Linked DNA regions of Diceros bicornis minor. The protein of the gene in region 2 interacts with the protein of the main gene of each other region in a pairwise test. Links are inferred from orthologs where the notes say so. Each region holds a gene or a part of one and is shown on either strand. Other genes may lie near its edges.

Region 1 (6,989 bases), on a different chromosome or scaffold from region 2:
GCGAGGTCTGTGTGGTCGTCAATATCCACCTTGGCCATCACCACCTTTCCATGCTGCTTGGCCACCACCTTCTCTAACCTCGGCCCCAGGATCTTGCAGGGACCACACCACCTCGGGAGGGGAGAAAGGAAGCATCCTGTCACAAGAGCACTTGACAATCCATCTGTGGTCTCCCCAGAACCTTCCCTTGACGCACATCTTCCTGAGGGACCTTTTGCCCTTATTACCTCTGTTTACAGTGTTTGACTATTAACCTGTAATGCTGACATGCCAAAGGGTAACGCCAGGAGACTCTGCAACAGAGGAATCTGCACAGGTCCCGGACTATTAAAGCACAGGCCTCATCATAACACTCTTATAAAGGTTATTTCATTTATTTCAATATATCTAAAAAAAATATGGTCATATAGAAGAATATGGGACTTGAAGTTAAAAGGTTTGGGTTCAAAGAAAGGCTCTTCACCAACCAGCTGATTGTTCTGGGGCCTCAGTTTCCTCAGTTGCAAAAGAGAGACTCTGCCTCTCAAAGCTGTGATGAGAAAGCAACTAAGGCAACGTGGATAAACATGGTCTGTGAGCTGTAGGGACTTCCGACACCTCATGGACTGGGAACTAAAGGGAGGGGAAACCAATGGCTAGTGAGTGTCTACGACACGCCAGTCACTGCGCCAGGAACCTTCTCAGCTTCTACTGCACAGAACCCTCAACCCTGCAAAGGGAAAGAAAACATCTTCCTAAGAAACTGAGTCCCATACAAGTTAGGAAACTTGTGTAAGGTCACAGAGCTAGTAAGAAGCACAGCTGGGGTTGCAACCCAGGTCGTGTTCCAAGTGTCCTCTTTCAGCCCCAGACAATTCGGTGTCAGCCCCTGTGTCAACTGCTACCAGGGAGGTGTCCCCTCCGGGTGGGGAGCTCTTTGAGAATAGGCTGTCATCTCTAGGTGTGTGGCACTAAGGGCAGTGCCTGGCACTAAATGAACAAACTCGCACCTTGCTTCCTTGTTGGAGAAGAAAATGAGGCATCACTCCATTTATCATTCCTTTTGGAAGTGCTCTCTGGAGTGCTCACCATACCAGGAGGGCAGAACAGCTCTGATCCCATGAACCCCTGGTCGATGACGCCTATTTTATCCTCAGCCATTAAAACCCTTTCCATTCAGAGATTTCAATGCACGAACTCACAACACCTAACAGCCCAGTCTGCAAGCCCTCATCTCCTACTACAAGGAAAGAAAGGGAGGGACAAGGACATCAAATGGCCTGCCCAAGGCGACATGGTGAGTCAGAGGAAGAATGGGGTAGAAAGCAAAAGAGCCTGTCAGAGATTTGTTCAGAAGGCCTCCCAACTTCTAACTCAGGCTACATTGGCTCCTTCTAGAATGTCTAATTTTAAGGGGTTTGTCCAGTTTTTTGTAGCCAGGCCACAAGGGTCTGGAAATGAAGACCAGGCTAACAATCAGAAGGCTACAGCCCTTTAAATATCCCTAACACAAACTCATACAGCACTGAAAAGAAACGCCTGCCCGTCCCTGCATGCTCGGGCACCACTGTGGTGGCACTGGTAACTTTTTGCCAGCCTTTCCCGGTTTTGGTGGCAAGATGCTGAAATAAAATCAACTTATCTGCAGGGCCAGGAACTGGTACACACCAACAACCAGAGAATGTGATAGTCATATTTTTCCCACTTTTGTCCAGGCTGAAGGTGACTGACCCATTCAGGCAGAGACACAGAGCGTCAAGAGTTTCTCAGCACTAATCACAGCGAGCTTTGAGGCCTGTTTATCAGTTTGTCTCCTACCAGACTGCACTCAATCTCTGAGAGCAGGGATTGGGTCTTACGAGTCTTTGCAATGAGTCTGTGCACGAGAAGCATCAAACGTGGTACTGAGACAGAGCAGGCACTCAATCAATACCTGAACAAGCGACACCCCAGTCTTCTGCTGACCCCAGGACTCACTGTGCATGGAAATCCACAACCACTGGTGTCTCACTGTTGACAACTCGGTCTTGAAAGTCAGGTCCGTCCTGGATGTTAAAGGTGGTCGTACAGACTCTGGTGGTGTATATTGACCGGGCTTGGCTGGGTGTCACTGTCTGGTTACCAGGACTGCACTGTGGGGTCTGCAGGGCCCAGGGGGTGAGTGGTGCCCACCGACCCTGAGTGGGCTTCCTGGAGATGATGGAGGCCAGGAACCTTCTCAGGAGAAGTCGCTGAGCCATCTGTGAGGGGAAAAGGCAGGAAGAGCTGGGGCAGACAACATGCAGTCAACACACCAGAAAAAGAAAGGTATTTGGGAGAACTGGGGGGCTCAAGATGCAGGGCTGGAAGCAAAATGCCAGGAAATAGTAAAGAAATTAGGATACTGGTTGAATTACAAGAAGAAAGGGAGGAAAGAACCAACATTTACAGAGCACCTGCCAAGGGCCAAGTGCCCTGCATCCACCCTAGTCCTCCCAGATCTACTTTGAGGACGTTTCCATAGTATCGCTCACATTACAGAGAAAGAATCCGGGGCTCGGGTAAGCTGGTGCCCAAAGTAACCCAACTAGTTAAACGAGTCAATACTGGAACCAAAGGCCGTCTGCAAAGTCCTTACGCTATCGATCACTCTATTAAGAAGTGTTTTAATGGGAAATTAAGGAAAAGGGGGTTGTGAAAGCATCAGGAAGGAGGAACCGCAACAATTTAAGGAGGAACTAACAGGCACAGAACAGGAGTGTGGGGGGGACGCAAAAAGGAGGGACGTGTGTGTGGAGGGAACTGGGGAACGGACGCCACGGGGGACCCCGGCTCTCCGGAGAGCAGGTTCCCTCGCCCCGGGCCTCCGCCCGCTCGGCCGCCCGCCGCGCAGGAAGGCGCCCGCAGCGCGCCTCAGCCGCTACAGCACCGAGAGCCGCCCCCACGGCTTCCTACCTCCCTGCAGCGCCAGCGGAAGGTGCACGGCCCGGCCCTCCGCGCCTGTCAAGGGCACTGCTGCCGTCACTTCCTCAGAGGAGGGCCGTTCCACGGCCACTTCCGGGGACAGGCACTCTGGAGCACGTCTCTCCGCAACCTGAGGGGCGGCTCCGATTTTCCGCCAATGAGAACGGCGGGGGAAGGCCCAGCTAAAGGGGCGGAGCCTCAGTTAGGGACCGGAAGACAGGGGCTCTCGGGGGAGAGACCGGAAGACGGGGGGCGGCCCCCGGGGGGAGGAACCGGAAGTAGGGACGGCCCTCGGGGGAGGGACCGGAAGAGGCGGGCGGGCCCCAGGGGAGGGTCCGGAAGAGAAGGTGGAGGGAGGCGGGAGCACGGGGGAGGTACGAGAGGGAGAAGAGGGCGGGAGGGAGGTGTGGTTCCGGATTTTGCAAACTCCTGCCGCCTTATTGGTCAACCTGCACTGCCCGCCCGTCTGTCGCATTGTCTTCCAAAAACTCGTAGAGGTGCTGGAAGGTTCTTTCCTTCCATCCTACGAATGAGGAAGCTAAGCCCCTCCGAGGCATAGTAGACCCTGACTGGGAGTCAGGAAGCCGCCGTGTGGCCCTCGTCTATCACACACAGCTCTGTGACCTCGAAGTTCTGGCGCGTCACCGTGCCCCTGGGGGCTTCAGTTTCCCAGGATGTGACACCAGGGGCCGGGCTTGTCGTGACCCAGGCCCCTCAAGCTTGTCTCCTTGGAGTTGCTGGGGAACTGGGCCAGGCGCCAGAGGGTGGTGACCCTGGAGGGCCTGCCTTGAGTGTGGTGACCTGTGAGCCTGCCTGGGCCTGGGCCTTCCTTTCACACCCTTTGTCACTGTCACGGACAACAGGGGTCTAGGACCTGTGCATCCCAGGCTGGTGTCACAGCCACCTCGCCTCCCCTGCACCCTGTACCTTACATGACAACCACTCTGGCCTCTTGGGGTTCTGTGAATACATCAGTGCCTTCTCCTTCCTCCTTGCCTTCCCTTAATTTGAAATACTTTTTTCTTTCTCCCCTTGGTAGAACACCCACTCATCACCTCTTCCTTGAGCCGCATTAATTACTTCCTTCTTTCTAGTGCTTCATTCCTAACTCTTACATAACGCATTGCACAGTGTCTGTCTCCTCCACTAGACCCATGCTTCCTGAGAGTGGGGATTTGTGACTTTTCTCTGACTCCACGTGCCCAGCACCAACCTGATACAGAGCCTGGCTCACAGAGGATGTTCAATGGATGCTTGTTAAATGAATGTCTTTGGGTATCTCAGGGAGTGGTTTACAGTCAGAGAGATCAGCAGGAGATTGGCAGAGTCCCATCTCACACGTCCGTTTCAGTCTACACCCCAGCAGGGGGGAATCACTTATAGTTCCAGAGTTTGCTTAAGTGTCTCTCCCATCCCTGCATTTGGCAGTTGCTACTCCCTATGACTGGAAGGCTTTTCCTCCTCTCTCCATCTGAGAAGATGCCAGCAGATACCAGATTAGGCATCCTCGCAGGGAAGAGACCCTTCCCTGAGCCTCCTGGAGCCCGAGTGGATGCCCTCCTCTGAGCTTCCACAGCCCCTGTGCATCTATCAGTCACCACACTCAAGACTCCGTACTGTCCCTGTTTCTTTATTCCTCACTCCTCACTATACTGTCAGCTCCTGGGGCTCTGTCTGTCTCTCCACTGCTTACCTCAAGCCTTGGTGCATGACAGTAGGTGCTCAGGGATTATTTGTTCCATGAACAGAGAGCAGGGACTCACATCAAAGCTTCTCACCCCAAATCCCATTTTCCCCACCACAGTGCATGGTCCCATTGTTCCCTTCCAAAATCACTGCCATGTTTTTTTTCCAGTTGGTCTTGGACACATCACGCTGTTGTTTGTCCAGTTGGCAGGTTCACTCCCTCACTCCCTGGGCAGGCAGGGCCACAGCCATAGCTGTGCGAGGACCTTCTTCTGGGATGAGGTGAGGGAATCCTTGGAATAGGTCCACGTCCTCTGGCCACCAGCAGCCAGGTCAGCCTTCCACTTAATAGAGTCCCTTGTCCATTGCAGGCAGAGACTAGGTGAGGGCATGGGCAGGCCTGGCCTTCTCTGCCCTGTCTGATCTCTTACTTTTGCCTCTGTCCCCACCTAGGACTGGAGCCAACAGTGGTGATCCACGTGGGACTCTCAGTGCCCCTGGCTCTCCTGAGGTCAGCACCCCTTGGTGCAGCTATTCCTGCTAATGCCGGATGCCATCTGGCAGGGGCATTCCTACCCTGTCCATTTTCATTTCTGTTTTTCTGTGTCTCCAGCACTTTCTCTTCCAAAGCCTCCTAGAGGCTATACTGCCCCTAAATCCTATTCAGCATTTCCACAGCGTTTTCTGGAAGGCCAATTTCCCTGCTTAATTCACATTCTGAATTCCAAAGGAGGACCAGTGCTGTTTGTCCTTGTTCCGTAGTCACTTCACCTCTCTTGGCCTCAGGCTTCTCAGCTGACAAGTGGGAAGAATGATGCCTTCCTCAGAGGAAGGATGGAGGACAGGGCCTGGCACACTGGCAGTGCCTGAGGAATGAAGGAGTCTCCTTCCCTTCTGCAGGGAGGGAGCCTGTGAGATGGATAGGGAAGGCTGCTCACACAATAGGCTACAAGCTATATGGTGGCTCATCTGCCCAGCCAGAGCTGACCTGGCCTGGGTCTGGCTCAGTCACAGGCAGGCTCAGGGCACAGGTGTGAGGGAAGGGAAGGAGCTAAGGGTAAAGCTTCTAGTGCCACCCCTTACCGACATTTATTGCAGTGTTTTTCAGGCTGTGGGATGTGAGCCATCAGTGGGTTTGTGAAATCCATTTAGTGGGTTGTGGTCAGCAGCTTTTAAAAAAACAGAATTGAAAATATCAGAGTATGTCGCATGTTATAAGTATCATTTGGTGAAACGTTTCTTGGTGTCATGCCTATATGGCTGTATGTCCTAGATTGTGATGTAGAATGTATTTTTTACTGTGGGTCATGGTCAAGAGTTTAAAAGCTACTGATATGATGAAGAGTTACCAAATACCTGACACTGTTCTGACTACCCTACATGTATTAACTCATTTAATCCTACAACCCTATGTGGTGGGTGCTGTTATAGCCGCCATCTTATAGATGGGAAAACTGAGGCACATAGAGGTTAAGTAGCTTGTCCAGGGTCACCCAGGTAGTAGGAGGTGGAAGCGTAAAGGTCCTAACCCGCCCCTAGCAAGGGCCTGATTTGACTACCAGCCAGCCAATCTAGGCCATCAGAGGGCAATGTGGGCTCAAACCCCGGGGGATTGCAGCTGGTGACAGGGCGGGCAGCAGTGGTTCTCAGCAGCGGCTGTAAGCAGAGGTGCCCACATGGTGGCAGTGTGGTTCTTGCAACCTCTTCCATGGCAGGCCAGGCAAGCTGAGCATGGCCTTGGGATACAGGCTTCCTCAGGTCTGCAGGGCCGATCACAGGGGACAGGGCTGTGGGACAGGTGCATCTCAGTGACTGCGTGTTCTAGGATTTTATGGCTGGAGAAAGGCACCTTAAAAAATACACAGGCAGAGAGGTGGTGGGCTACAGTGTAAGCTGCTAGTGAGTTCCTCTCTGAGATGCGTTGCTCCTAGAGTATCTTTGTTTTCAGTTTCCATCTTGATGGTAATTTTTGTTTTTTGTTTTTTTAAATGCTGTTACAGAACAGTTGGAACTGTGACTTATGTTTTGCAATTCAAGAAGCTGGTTTCGTGTTCTGTTGTGATTCATGTTCTGTCGTGTTTCCAGCAATTACACAATGTCCCCTCAGCCCTTTCTGAACATAAAGACTTGACACTGGAACCTCAATGTAGCCCTTAGCTCATAGACTGGTGACTGCTGCCTCCTGGGATGGTAGATCCAGAGTGTCATGGCTGTGATGTAGGTGGGCATATGCTGTCTCCCTCACTTGCCCACCCCAGTGTGAGGCCACTGCCCTCAGTAGGCATGTGCAGGCTGGGGCACCAGTGTACCAGGGCACATTCTGGATCCTTCCTGCTTTTGAGGTGAGGCTCCTCATGTGTTCCTGCCTGGTCAGGTCTGGT
Region 2 (7,055 bases):
GTGGGCCCAATGCACAGCAGGCGCTCAACCGAACGTCAGTTGTAATTATTATTCTCACTTAAAACAAAGAGCCCACACCTAACACATCATTTTCTACTCACTGTGTTCTTCACATGCATGAACGCGAGAATCTCCCGTAAGGAAAACATTCCCCCTTGGGGGGTGAAGTCTGATCAATTTGAACAATATATTTATTTTGGATTTTTTTTTCCATTGACCTGGCTTATAGAAGAATTAGCCTCACTTATTTAAACATAGGAGCCAATTTAAATGCAGACATCTAACTTCATATGTATTATATGGTATTTAAACAAGTCTCCTTAGATGTTAAATCCATCTCATTATGACCGCCAAACTCTTCTAGTCAAAAGTGTTCATTTGTCTATGATCTCCTCTACTTAAAAACATCCATTTCTGTACAAGTGTATCCATCAAAATCTGCAATTTGCTAAGAGAGGATATTCTGTTTTCATAAATCATCGAAAATACACAACAAACTTTAGGATGTTCAACCTATAGTTCGTACCACAATGACACTCTCTTACCTCCTGCAAAAACTTCTCACTCATTTGGCTGAAATGGTGTCCTGGAGGCTTGATCCCGGACACCATCAGTCCAGAACTGAAGACCCTGGGCTTCTGCAGGTCTGGCTTGAATTTCTCGTAGAGGTGGGCAGACGGTTTCAGGTCACCACTCGCCGCCTTCTCCTCTTGGGGAAGAGGCATGGTACATGTGGGCGGAGCGTACGGAAGCCCCACTGGAACCAGCGAAGTGTCCACCTGGCCAAGGGCCTGAGGATTCCTCCTGATGTAGGTGATGATCTTAGGCCTCACGTGCTTGGGTTTGGGCATGACGACGGGCTTGGGCTCTGTCCTTTCCTCTGTTTTTTCAACCTGGTAGTTCTCCTTTCCCTCCTGTGAGAAAGGTACATCCTCGGAACGTACGACGACAGGCTTGGGGATCCCAGTGGGGCAGGTGTCCTTGTCAGGCACTTTCGGGGAAGGGGTCAACAACCGCGCACTGTCGGTGGGAGGTGGGGCAGCCGAGGGTGACCCCGTGTCTACACTCAACACACCGAAGTCCTGAAAACTGCTACTGGGTGGTGTAGGCTGGTGGGTCACATTCACAGTTGTCTCTGGGTGGAGGGGTGCTGGGACATTGAGAGGAGAATCTGTACTTGCTGGGGTACTTTCAGTCTTAACTGCATTTTCTAGACGGTTCCTACTTTTGGCAACAGATGTAATGATCTCTTTGCTTTCCCCTGCTTCTGAGCTGCTGCTTTGAGGGTCAAGGGGCTCAGGGACCTCAGTTCTGCTCTCTCCAATCAAAGCATCTGAAGTGGAAACCGTAGCACTGTCCCTGGTCCCACTGCCCAGCACCTCTCTCCCCTCACTCACATCCAAGGGCCTGCTGTCAGTTGGATCTTTAGGAATAAAATCTACATGACCATCACCTGGTGAGATGCTGCTGGATGCCATTTCACCCAATTTCCTAGCTGCACTTGGTGAATTTTTGCCAGTGGGCTGATTATCAGCAGCTCCCAAGGAATCGGGGCTCTGTTGGGGGGTTGTTTGAAGAAATCCCTCCTCACCCAGGCTGACTGCTCTCTTCTCCTGCTCACCACTCCTGCCTCTTCCCACGCCAACGTGGTGGAGACTGCCATGTGACAGACTGCTCAGTGTACCAGCGGTGGCTTCTTGCTGTGCTTCCCCACATGGCCCCTTTCTCTCTAGGGACAACATACTATCCTCCTCAGGACATCCCAGACCCTCCGCCTGGGTTGACTTTAATTCCTGCACGGCCCTGGGTTGGACAAATTTCAGCTCCGGCCTGGACTCTGCCTTTCCCTGACCTAATTGTGCTTCTGGCTTACTCAGGACTTCCTTTGATGCTGAAGTTGAATTCAGAGCACGCTCTGGGTGGGCAGAACGTGATGTGCTCTTGTCACTAACTTTCGGTACGTGTGCCCCCTCCATCTGGGTCTCTGAGGGGGTGGCCTCCTTGGTTTCTGAGGTAGATGATTTAGGACGACGCAAACTCTTGCCCTCTGAGGTATTGTCAGCTGGAAGCAAAGCTGCCCCTAGAGAGTGGGCTGTCAATGTCCTCTGTGGCCCCTCCCCACCGCTGGGCACATGACAGGGGGCTTCAGGGGAGTCCAGCGGTGCAGGCTGCAGAAACTGCCGAGTCAGGCTCCCAACACGCTCCTTTGTGAGCACGTCCACTGCAAGAGCAGAGCTGCTTGCTCTTTCTAAAGAATGCCTTCTCAATTCCTCATTGTCAAGGGTCTTTGCCAATTTATCCTTGGGAACAGGCCGGGGAATTTCAACATCCCTTTTAGCCAAAACCTCTGGACTGGACTCACCCATAACATTCCTCCAACTTGACAGGCTTGGTCCCTGAATACTCCGAGGGGTCTGCGGGATATGTGTGCCTCTCTCCATTGTGTGCTCTTCATTTAGTTCTCTAGGAACGGTTGGAGAAAACTTAAAATCTTTCAGGCTGGTGGGGCCGGCGTGAGATCCTTTCCCAATGCCCTGAAGTTGGTGAAATTCCTTATTGAAATGGGTGCCATTTCCTGGCTCACTTGTATTTGCATTTCCAACTTCATCTCTCAGGTCACATGTCTCAGACTCATCATGAGAGGAACTGACCTCCAATGTGATTTGATTGGCATTGGTATCCCCCAGACTTAGGATACTCTCGTTATTATTTTTCACTCCATTTCGGTTGTCCCGCAACTGAGTGTAACATGATTTCTTAGGAGCCACTGGGACGCTCATTTTCAACCCTTCAGTGGGGGCTGCTTGCCATGCAGTCCTACTTAATGGAAAGGGGCTTCCTTCAAGCTGCTATTTGATTAATAGGAAATTCTCAAGCTGCCTGTTGCCCCCTGACAATGTCACATTGCGACACTGCTACAATCATTTTCAGAGCAGTTTTAAAACCAAGCATTGTCTTGGCATACAGCAGGATGACTGATCTGCTAGGTTCCTGCTGAATGAGAGCCAATTAGTCCATGAGACCTAGAGAGAAATAAAAATAAATCAGATTAGATCGACAGAGATTCTCAGGAGAAAAAATCATAGTAAACACAGATTACAATCACTTTCATAATATTATTTAATTCACTCTATCCACATATTTCTCAAAAACCTTTCAGATAGGGGCTCCTGCTGGCCAAATATGGGAAAATTGGAACATCAAAATGATTCATGTTAGAAATAGATTATGAAAACATAGTAAATCTTAAAATTAAATTTTAAAAACCTACAAGTTCATACCAAGACTGATTAAAAAGGGTGGAGGAGAAAAGAAGGCTCTTCTTTACAGAATATCAACTAATACAGGAAAAATTATAGAATTAGAAAAAGCATCATTTTGTAGTCACCAGAGTAATAATTATCTTGGGCAAGGGACACCAATGGTTGAAAAATACTGGTTGAAAGGTTGTTTGGGGAACAGGATATTCATGGAATCATAAGGTACCATCCTCCAGATTACTTTATTTCTTACAAAAGAAAAATTTTATCTTTACAATGGAGAAAGCTGGTAGGCACCACCTTAACTAAGTGATCAAATTTACCATGTCACTAGTGGAAACTGACACCACGTGCTCCTGATGTAGGCAGTCCTCAGCACCTATATCACCTATGCAGTATTCTCGCTATGAATGTTCAACCCGAATTTAATCATGAGGAAATAATCAGACAAATTTAAAATAACTGGCCTAAACTTGCCTCCAAAATGCTAACAGATATCTACGAATGATGCGTGATCCTTGACTGGATCTTTGATTTTACAAAAAATTAGCAAAGGATATTATTGGGACAATTACAGGTTTCTATATGGATTGTATTTTAGGTAAAGGTATTTTATCAATGTTAACTTTCTTGGGTGTATAATACTATTGTGATTATATCAGATAATCTTTGTTCTTGGAAGATACATGCTTTTAAACATGACATGTCTTTTAATGACATGTTGTCTGTAACTTACTCTCCAGTGGTTCAACAAAGAGAAAAATATGTGTGTCGGGGGGTGGGTGGGGATGCATATGAAAGAGAGAGAGAGAAAATGCAACTGTGCCAAATGATAATTTGAAAATCTAGGTGATCCATTCTACTATACCTACAACTGTTCTATAAGTTTGAAATTTTTCAAAATAAAAAGCTGGAGGAAAATTCTATCCCAGCCTTCAGGGCCTGCATGATCCAGCCCATACACACCTTTCCAGCCTCATCCTCACTACTCACCCTCTTCCTCTCTAGGCTGCAGCCACACTGGCCTCATTCTTCATATTACCATGTTCCTTCCTCCCTGCTTCGGGGGGGCTTTGCTCGTACTCTTCCATCTGCATAGAATGCGGACTCTTCCCTCAACGTTACTCAACTAACCCCTTTGTATTCATCAGTTTGCAGCATAAGTACCACTTCCTCCAGGAAGCCTTCCCGACCTACTAGCCTTTCCGACCTCCTTCTATAATGACCTTTTATCATATCCCATATTTTCACTTTAAAAAAAAAAAATCAGATGTGCTAGACACTAAAGAAAATATCGTTTAACACCTAGCATGTGTGTTAGGCACTTAATATGTATTTGTAGCATGAATGAATGAATGAATGAATGATGAAGAACAATGTTATTTTTACTCTCATAGGGCTTAAAATCTAACATAGTATTTAAATTTCTATGAAAGTAGACTCACAGATCATCCCTAAACCTCTCAATTCAAGGCTAACATTGTTTTATCCACTACTGTGAATACATTTTATTAGGCACCAGGGATGGGAGAGTTTAAAAGGAACAAGGTTCCGCTCCGTCCGCAATTCCCCCAATGGGGATTCAAAGTTAACAGCCTTCCACACCTTCCCCCTCATTCATACAAAATATGCGAGTACTGAGATGCACATTACGTGGGAGGCTCTTGTCACGTTTCCACTGAAATAAGTTACGTGGCAACCTGCTTGTCTTCTCTTCATCATTGTTTAATATATTATTTCATACATTCAAAAGAATATTTGTGGGCTGTCCCTGTGGCTTGGCGGTTGAGTGCGCGCGCTCCGCTGTTGGCGGCCCGGGTTCGGATCCCGGGCGAGCGCCGACGCACCGCTTCTCCGGCCATGCTGAGGCTGCGTCCCACATGCAGCGGCTGGAAGGATGTGCAACTACGACATACAACTATCTACTGGGGCTTTGGGGGAAAAATAAATAAATAAAATCTTTAAAAAAAAAAAAGAAGGGGGCCGGCCCGGTGGCGCAAGCGGTTAAGTGCGCGCGCTCCGCTGCGGCGGCCCGGGGTTCGCTGGTTCGGATCCCGGGCGCGCACCGACGCACTGCTTGGTAAGCCATGCTGTGGCGGCGTCCCATATAAAGTGGAGGAAGATAGGCACAGATGTTAGCCCAGGGCCGTCTTCCTCAGCAAAAAAAGAGGAGGATTGGCGGATGTTAGCTCAGGGCTGATCTCCTCACCAAAAAAAAAAAAAAAAAAAAAAAAAAAAAAAAAAAAAAAAAAAAAAAGAATATTTGTGTATTCATACATGTATATACATTCATGTATACATAATACATATACATATATATATATACACACAAATGTATGTTATAAAGCAAAATAACATAATGAACACCTAGAACCAAGGACTGAGAAATCACCAATAAATTGCAGTTACCTCCATGTTCCTCTCCATCCCAGCTCCCAACTTTTCTAACTTAATTTTTCACTTGACAGCCTATCATGGACATCCCTAAAAACTCAGCTGATAGAGCTCTCTTTTCCTTTCATTTCTTTTGCATCTATTACATAAGCATGTATTTTTTACTTAAATGAGATCATTTCCTATAAGCTGGCTTTTTGTCAGTTTTTTTTCTTTTTATTTGCCCCTTCTTCCCTTAGCCCAAGACACGCTAACATCCTGGTGCAGGTCTCTCCACTCCTTTCCCCATGTCCGTATACTCCTATCCAGATACACACACCTATAGCAGTGTGTGCTTTTGTTTCCCACCACACTGCTCTTCTGTTCTCTTCATGTCACACTCACTATCTTCATCCTCCCACTTCCTTGTGTCTCCCACATTCTTTTTCTCCTTCTCTGTCTTCTTCCAGGCCTGCCTTCAGTGAACCAGGGACACCGCCAGCTCCAGCCTTGGCCCGATACAGCCCTCAAGCCTAAGCAAGGTGCTGACACTCTGCTCCCAACCTCGGTTCCCTGACACAGAAGTAATTCTCAATGAGCCCACATTTCTTTCTTTACTCCATTTTAAAAGTGTTTTCCTTGAAGATACAAATGTCCTCTGGGGACAAATATAAAAAGCATGTGGGCAAATCAATAAGACAACAGTTTAAAAGAACACTGTGCTCTCTGGGTCAGGAAACAGGTATCCCAGAAAGTCAGGGAGAGCAAGGAATTCCATAGACATGGGCCATCCACAGAAAGTGAGCATCTCTGATTCTCTGTGGGCAAAATTTAAAGCATGAAACCAAGAGCCCTCTTTGGTTTGAACTATTGAAGCTGGGAGAAAGAAAGAAATGAATTCTCAGCAGTGACAGCAAAACCAGAGCATCATAAACCACAATCCACAATCTGACTGCTAGAAAGTGACAAACAGGTGCAAAATCAGTATCTTGCTAGAAAGAATTGTATTTTAATTTTTAAAGAATTACATAATAAATGTTCTTTTTCTTTGTCAGTAAACAATAAATGTTACATTGGTAAGGGGATGGAAAGGTAGAACCTCCGAGGGCCCAAGTATTATTCTCAGCACTAATCCATATCTGCAAAATTTAATGTTTAAATTATAATTAATTTTATTTAATCTTAAATTTTAAGTTAAGTTATTTAATATTTGTAATGGCCTCCAGAGATAGATCTTAACATCCCCTTGCCTTTTTTCTTTCTCTCCAGGTAAGGAAGTGAAAGCACAGAGAGGGTAACATTCCCAAGGTCACACAGCTAAGAAGTGGCGGAGCAGGGACAGAGACAGGAAGGTAAAATCCAGGCAGAAAGTGGAAGCTGTAAAAAGAAACGCTGCCTATTGGTGGAACTGTATAGATCACA
Region 3 (7,879 bases), on a different chromosome or scaffold from region 2:
GCCAAAGATGTAAGACACTGGCCGTGAGTCATTTCCAGCAGTGATGGGGCCATTGCTGGCAGAGACGGGGCCCTGGCCCTCATCGACGCCAGCAGGGCTGGAAAGGGAGCCTCGGCCTTTGAAGATGAAGCCTTTGATCTCGAAGGGCTTGATGCTGCTGGTGAGGAGGCCTCTGCCCTGGAAGACGGGGGCCCTGATGTCCACTGGGAGGCCTCTGCCCTTGGGTGTAGCTGTGGACCGAGTGGGCAGGTAGATGGAGCCCTTGCCAATGATGAGCGGCCCTCTGCGGTCAGCCGCAGGGAGGGAGCCCTCTCTGGGGAGGACACAGCCCTTGGCATCAGTGACGGTCCCCTTTTCCCTGCCCAGACCCAACAGGGAGAAGGGGATGGTGACAATGTCCTCGTCCTCGCTGAAGAAGTTGCTGCTCTCGGAGGGGTTCCTGATGAAGTCAGACACGGACAGGGGCGTGCAGATGGAGTTGGGGGTGTAGCCCCAGGAGCGCTCGCCCGAGGGGCTGCTGCGGAGCGTCAGTGACTGTTTCTCAGCAGTGACGGCCGAGCTGCTGCCGTACAAGGCATACCTGCCCTTGATGGGGATGGGGCTCTTGACCTCCGGCCCCCAAGCGGGGTCCGGGGGCTTCTGGAAGAAGCAGACCCCCAGGTCGCAGGCCTCGCAGCGCTCACTGAAGCAGATCTCAGGGCACTGGTCAGAGCTGAGGGTCTCCCGGTAGCACTTCTGCAGGATGAACAGGACCAGCTTGTTGAGGAAGAGCCGCACGTTCAGAAGGCTCACCTGGCAGTCCCGCTGGGCGCCCGGCGGGCACAGCCGGCACCGCTGGCCCCAGATGCGCATCTTCACCAGCCCCAGCCGGCTGTCCTCATCCCACCACATATGGAAGAGGATGTGCACGTGGGCCGAGGACCAGCCCCACTGGCAGCGGCCACACTGGAGCCTGCAGAGGAGAGAGAGGCAGTGAGCGGAGGGGAGGGGGCCGCCCTCCTGCTCCCCAGGAGGGCGAGGAGCGAGGCCCAGTGGAGTTCCATAACCCCGAGCCCCCATCTGCAAAGGGACAGATGCTGGCGCACACTGTGTCTGCAACCCATAATCTGAAGAGCTGAAAAGCAAGCACCTTTTCATCAGTTTGGCACAAAACCCACTCGGTGGCAGAGCCTGGCCTGACGCACGTGAGGGGTCACTCTGTGTTCGCTGCTGCAGCCGCTGCTTTTCTGTTCTTTTGTGACTCGGGGCATAATCGCCCTGAGGAAACGTCACGAAGAGGCAAAGGCAGGCCTGTGGATACCAGTCGGGGGGAGTAGCAGGTGGGGTGCTGCGGAGAGGACGTGGGGGCCCTGGAAAGAGGAGCCCTGCCCAAGGGAGAGAAGGTGACGGGGAGATAAATTCGGGGGCTCCCTGCCGCACGAGACTGGGTGATGGGGAGGTCTCGGGGGACAGAGAAGCAGTGAGGGCTGGAGAGTCCCCCTGCTGGGGTGCCGTCACGCTGACTTTGCACGTGGGAGCGAGAGCCGCACGCCTCCCCGCACTGAAGAGGAGCCACGTGCCGGTCCCTGGAGGATGACGGTGTGCGTGTCCCAGGCCCCGCAGGTGAGCGCCCTCTCTCCAAGGCTTGTGATCACTGTGGCACCTGCACACGTGTGTGGGGACCCGCATGCCTGGAGGTTTCATGGAGCGTTTCCCCGGGAAGCTGATCAGCGTCGGGGGAACTTTCCATGACAGTGGGATTGTTCTGTCTGCGCCCAGCCGGGAGCCACAAGTGGCAAGGAGCACCTGGACACAGGGAGTGCCCTGAGGAAGGGAACTTCCAGCTGTATTTACATTTAATCCACAAGCACATGGCAGGCCGCGTATGGCCAGCGGCTGCTGTGTTGGAGGACGTGGGTCTGTAGTACGTGGCCATCCACTGGCTGGCGTTTCTATCGGTGAAAACTGAAAACCAACTGAACAATCTTTCTGGTCCTCATCTCGACCCTGTGGAGTCCTTCAGTTTGGCCGTGGGAACAGTAAGGTGTTTGAAGGTGCTTCTCTGATGCACCGAGGACTGTCACTTCCTATCACCTGAGAAGGCCAGCCTTCCCCCGCACACCCGGCCCCCGGGGTTTCGGACGCTGGGAGCTGTGGCATCCGTGTCAAAGGGCAGCTGCCCACGGGGGCCCCACAGTGACCTGTCTTTGAGGTCCCCTTCCCCAGTCAGGTCCCGGGGACTGGGGACGCCTGGCTGGGTGGCTCCTGCAGGTCAGGCCTGTCCCCGTTGCAATGACGCCAGCTGTCGTCATGATGATGAAGAGTGAGGCTCACGTAGTGACCCGTGGCCACCGGAGCCCCCGAGCTGGGCCCCCACTCGCCCACAGCCCAGGCCGGGGACTGCTACCCCTCCTCTCGGGGCCTGCTCCCTGCATGTGTCTCTCAGCTTCCCGGTCCCTCAGGCCCCTGTGCAGCGCAGGGCAGGCAGTGACCGCGGGCGCCTGCCCATCCCCTGCTCCCATCAGCGCTGCCATGGAAACCAGAAGATGTGGCGGTGGCGGCCGCGTCACCCCCCAACTGCGGCAGGGCCCAGGCTGAGCTCGGTGGCCGGCACCGCAGGCAGGGTCTCAGCTCACCGGGCTGAAAGGGACTGAACAGGCGCTGTCCCTCCAACACCCCCACTTCCTGGGAGGGAGAAGGAGCACCCGCCAACCCACCTGTTGGGGCCAAGCCCAGGCCAGACACTCGCCCGCATCCCACCCCCCCAGGTGCTGGGCCACACCTAGCCTGGCCTCAGGACACGGGGCCAACCGAGGGCCAATGCTTAAGCAGCCTTCAGCCCCCTCCCCTCCTGGGACCCCAAGGAGGACCCCCACAGCCGCACCTCGAGAGCCCCCTCAGCCGGTACTGGAAACCGCTGCTGTCCAGGTGCCCCGAGGCCAGGTTCTCCTCAGGGAGCAGCTCCCAGGTGTCCTGGGGTTTCCTCTTGGTCATCAGTTGGGCTAAGGTGCTGGCCCACACGTCCACCCCGTCCATGCTGGCGCCAGGCTCTGCAGTGCGGTCTGAGGGCTGCACCAGCTCCCGGCTCCAAGGAAGCTCTTGCAACCAGCTCCACTGGCCAATCGCTGCCTTGACAACCATCCAGTCTCCATGACAACCAGGCTTGTCTCGGAGAAATGAGAAGCTGGCCTTTTTTCTTATCCTTCTGAATATTTTTTATTACGCAAGCAATATGTTTTCATTTTAGGAAAAATTAGAAACAAACAGATAAATAAAAAGGAAAAAAATACAATAGAATAAAATCGCCCATAATCATCGCAGTGGTGCTGACATCCACGCGTTTTTCTATGCACGTGTATGTGTAAATGTTCATATTCATTTTTCACAAACCGGAAACCCTCGGAACAACTTGTCCTAGAGCTGCGTTTCTTGCTCCACGGCGTGTCGTGGGCAGTGCGCTATCCTCACCACTTCGAACATCCGGGATCGTCCAGTCTACGGCTGTGCCGTAACCTGCTGGCCCTGCCTCTGTCCTTGAACTGCACGGTGCTAATTCTTTGCCGTTACAAACACGGCCGTGAGGAACTTTACTGAACATGTATCACTGTGAATTTTCCCACGGTTTCCATTTTTTTCCAAACTTTTTATTGGCTAGAAGTGTACAACATTTATGTAAAAATGCCTAAAACATAATGCACAGCTTCTCAAATTATCATGAAGTCTTAGTTCAGCACCTGAAGGAATCCAGCCCCCCAAAGCCCTCCACATGCCCCTCCCTGCGCTCAGCACGCCCTTCCCGCGGAGGCACCACCCGCCCACTGGGGCCCCTTCCAGCCCCACCACCCGAGGTGTGTCCCCACGCACGGTCGTTTCCTTTTATTGCTTGGAGCTTCCTGTAAAAGGAACCCTCTGTTACGCATTCTGTGTCTGTGCGGCTGGCTTCTCTCACCTTCTCGCCTTCTTGTTTGTGAAGCCACTTGTAGCAGCAGTTTGTCGGGGGCGAGAGGAAAAGGTGGACTGAGGAGAGAGCCAGCCAACGTTCCACGGCAGAGGGGGAAGGGCTGCCAGCCCAGGAGGGGAAGACGCCGGGTGAGAGCACGCGGATGAGAGACAAACGGAGAGCGCCTTTGGACGACCACCGCTGAGGACGCGGCCTTGGGACCAGGGCCACGTGGAGGCATGGCCGTCACAGCTCCTAGCAGAGCCCCCGGGCTGCAGGAGGTGCCCAGCACCTCCTCTCCTCTGGGCAGCATGGCCCGGGGACCCCGACCCCGGAGCTCACCAGCAGCATGCCCAGGGAGCGGGTGCTCCCCGTGCTGTTGACAGGCAGCCGAGTGGGACGGGAGCCAGGAGACCGCAGCTCAGCGTTGGCGAGACTAACAGGCTCTGACCACATGAGACTGAGACAGTCTTGGTTCCCGACACATCTGCAGGGAGCTCAGCGCTGACAGCTGCCCAGTGGCCAGCAAGGCCTTGTCCCCCAGTGCCCGTAATGGCTCCAGAGGTGGTGGGAAAGGAAGCTGTCCCCAGGCGATCTCCGACTCTGTCCCAGGAGAGAGCAGGGCCCAGCCGAGGAACACCCCGTCCCCCACAGGGGCCCCTGCAATGTGGGTGCTCTGGGGCCTCCACCCGCCCTGGGCAGAGGGAAGCGCTCAACCCCACTCGTCCACATGGAGGGCCGTGTGCGCTGTCTCCCTCCGCTGAGGGTCCCAGCGCCTGCTGGACAACCATCTCCCGGTTCCAAAGCCACTGCCTCTGCCCCGCCTGGGATCCGGGCTTCTCTGGGCCTTTCCTGCAGCCGCTCACGCACCAAGTGCCCTTTATTCAGCCCCTTGAATCAGCCCGGCCAAGCCGAGCAGCGGTCTGCTCTGGCTGCTCTCTGTCTCTCCTTTCCTGCCGCTGGGCGGGTTGATTCTCTCAGCATTCCACGCTCATCCTTCTACGAGTTTGGATGCTACACTGCTTTGATTCTTTTTTTTTTTTTTAAGATTTTATTTATGTATTTATTTATTTTCCCCCAAAGCCCCAGTAGATAGTTGTATTTCATAGCTGCACATCCTTCTAGTTGCTGTATGTGGGACGTGGCCTCAGCATGGCTGGAGAAGCGGTGCGTCGGTGCGCGCCCAGGATCCGAACCCGGGCTGCCAGCAGCGGAGCGTGCACACCCAACTGCTAAGCCACGGGGCCGGCCCAACGCTGCTTTGATTCTTGTGTTGGTCGCCTTGGAAATTCCAACACGCAAGCTTAGCATGATTATCGTCTAAGGTGAACCACCCCTTCAGGACGGAACAGATGCTCTGCCTGTCACCTGTCTGAGTTCCTGTGGAACTGAATCAAATGAGGCCTGGACCTCCCCCTGCATCCTCCGTGTCTCTGTGACTCTGTATCTCTAGCCTGCATATGAGCAATTTCTTCTCATTTTTCTACCAGTTCACCAGTTCTCTCCTCATCTTTGTCCAGTCTACAGCTAATCCTGTGAAGTGAGTTGTTGTTCTTATCATATTTTTCATTTCTGAAACTTCTTTTTGGCTCTCTTTCAACTATGTGACATCTTTCTGCCTTGCAGTTAAGCATGACAAGGAGATATAAGAGGAAATTTGGGGGCTGTGCTTCTGGGAAGGTTCCATAATGTGGGACTAGATAGCTGGGGAAAGTCCTACTTCTCCCACTCCACTTTAATCTTCTTCTGTTGATCAGTGCAGAGATGATGGCTGGCACTCCTGCAGCCATCTTAGACCATGAGGTAACCTTGCAGATGGAGCCATGTGCTGAGGAAACAGAAAGGCAAGACCCTGGATCCCTGATAACACTAGGAGTCACTGTACTACTTCTGGGTTGTCTGCCTCTGGATTTCTTGTTCAAGGCAGAAATAAACTTTTAGCCGCCACTGTTATCTTAAGGCACTGTTTTCTGGGGGTTTTTTGGTTGCCACCCAGCCAATCATAGCAATTCTAACTGATACCTTAGGGGCTGTGCTGAAGGCCCTGGGTTTTGCTAGTTGGTCTGGGGCCATTGTGTGTATGTGGGCACCCATGTGGTCCTGGTCACGTGGCCAGGCAGAAATCTGAGGGACAGCTGTAGCCCTTTCTCTCTGCATGGCCCCTCCAGGCCCAGTGGCCCTGGCTACTTCCACACCATGCTGGGAGCAGGAACCCGTGCTCTGTGGGGCCATATCACAGCCTTGTCTGCCAGGCACACCCCACAGGCTCCTCTACTCCCAAGACCTCAACCCCCCTCTGAGTTTAAAATTATGGAATTATGACTGACCACCACCACCTGAAAATCATCTTTTAGTGGATAATACTGACCCTTACGATGTGCAAGGAGCTCATCACCTCTGACTCTCCTCATTCGAGGGACTTCCTTAAACCTACCCCAGAGAACGGCTCTCGAGGCCCAGCCAGCAGACCCCAGAGCCATCAGCCTCCACGCACCTGTACACATCTGCCTATTTCCCAATCCCCCAAACCTTCACGCCAGACCCCGCCAAAGCTGCTCACCCGGCCAGCTAACGAATCAGGCGGCTATGAACCCCCTCTTCTCTACCAGAGAAGTGATGGGTGGGGCACTCTGTCAGTTCCTGAGATGTGCAGTGTGGCCCTGAAGTTGTGGGTCCAGCTGTGCGATTGTCCAGCCTGGAGGCGGAGGTGAGAGAATTCCCCCTCAGACCGTTTGGGTGGACACTGGTCCCTCTAAGGACAGCCTCTAAGAACAAGGCTTGGTAGCAACTCCTGCCCCAGCTCTGCCCTCTGCCCTCCGCCCTCCACCCTCTGCTCTATGACCAACCTCCCTGAGGCCTTGGTGACTCTAGAACGGGTTGGGATGGGGATGAAGAAACCAGGACCATCTCTGCATATTGCCCTGCCTGACAGAAGCGCTTACGCTCTCTCTCCCTGTGGACGCGCTCTCTCCTCTTGGCCCCCTTCTCCTAACTCTCCTCCCCGCCCTCGAATTCTGAACTCGACCCTTGGGAGGGCGGCTGGAAGGTGAGGGCAGCCCTCGTCCCGGGGGGGCCCTGGGTAGAGCATTTGAAAGCAGATCTTCTCACAGCCCAGGGGAGCCACAAGGACAGTCCCCTGCTGTTGACGATGCTCAGAGCACCTGTCCCTGTCTTGGCCTGGGCGTGGCCTGGGCCTGTTCCCCCAAGCCCTTCTCTGTGGTGCTGGGCCAGAGAAGTGCAGCTTCGGGACGCGGGGCAGGGCGGGGTGGCGGAGGCGGGGACAGCACATCAGGGAAGCTGGGGGCCTGGCCGGGGGGCGGAGTGCATCGCAGAGTCCAGCGCGAGGCCAGCTGGCTGACGGATGGCTTTGCTCTGCCGACAGGACCCCACCTCGTGTGTCTGGGAAGGAGAGAGGTTGAGAGAGACAGATAGACATGGAGAGAAATTGGGGGAAACGAGGGAGCTCAGCGTGAGGGCTCAGCCCTGCCCTCCCCCAAACCTCAGCAGAGGGTGCGCAGCTCCAGGAAGGCGGGCCGCCTCCTGGGACCCTGGGGCCTGTAGCCCGCTGGTGGGCCCGTCCCTGGCACACAGTCACGTCAAGGTGTGCGTCCCTGGGCGGCAGGCGGGCTGGGGTCCTGCAGTTGGCAGCTGGGGCAGCAGCATCTGGATGGCGGTGGCCCCTGTCCAGCCGGTTCTTTTCCTAAAGGCTCTTCGCACTGTCCCAGGACTTCCTCGCTCCCACATCCAACCCAGCTGCTACCTAGCGCAGGGCTGGTCACCTCCGCCAAGCCCCGTTGGGGCAGGGGCTCGCCCGGGAAGGAGCAGGGAGAGCCTCAGAAACTGACACAACAAAGGGGAGGACAAGGGGGCCAGGGCCAGCGGGCCTTGTCTCCTCAAAGCACAGCCGGCAGGGCGGCCGGGGGGACACTCACTGAATGAAGCAGGCAGGCGTGCACGCCA

Evidence for each region.
Region 1: the proteins of MTUS2 (region 2) and TXN2 interact in binary tests that used the Homo sapiens proteins (3 or more experiments, as listed by UniProt). The two-hybrid records come from large-scale screens. The link is inferred for Diceros bicornis minor from reciprocal best matches to the Homo sapiens genes MTUS2 and TXN2.
Region 3: the proteins of MTUS2 (region 2) and RTP5 interact in binary tests that used the Homo sapiens proteins (3 or more experiments, as listed by UniProt). The two-hybrid records come from large-scale screens. The link is inferred for Diceros bicornis minor from reciprocal best matches to the Homo sapiens genes MTUS2 and RTP5.

The regions. Positions count from the first base shown.
Region 1 is NC_080764.1:13,125,065-13,132,053, reverse strand, and holds the start of TXN2 (thioredoxin, mitochondrial), read right to left. Parts: upstream 3,016-6,989; 5' UTR 2,914-3,015; intron 2,220-2,913; coding exon 1,957-2,219; intron 112-1,956; coding exon 1-111.
Region 2 is NC_080748.1:12,171,029-12,178,083, reverse strand, and holds the start of MTUS2 (microtubule-associated tumor suppressor candidate 2), read right to left. Parts: upstream 3,003-7,055; 5' UTR 2,781-3,002; coding exon 546-2,780; intron 1-545. UniProt on the Homo sapiens protein: Binds microtubules. Together with MAPRE1 may target the microtubule depolymerase KIF2C to the plus-end of microtubules. May regulate the dynamics of microtubules at their growing distal tip.
Region 3 is NC_080776.1:28,593,319-28,601,197, reverse strand, and holds the start of RTP5 (receptor-transporting protein 5), read right to left. Parts: upstream 3,016-7,879; coding exon 2,864-3,015; intron 953-2,863; coding exon 1-952.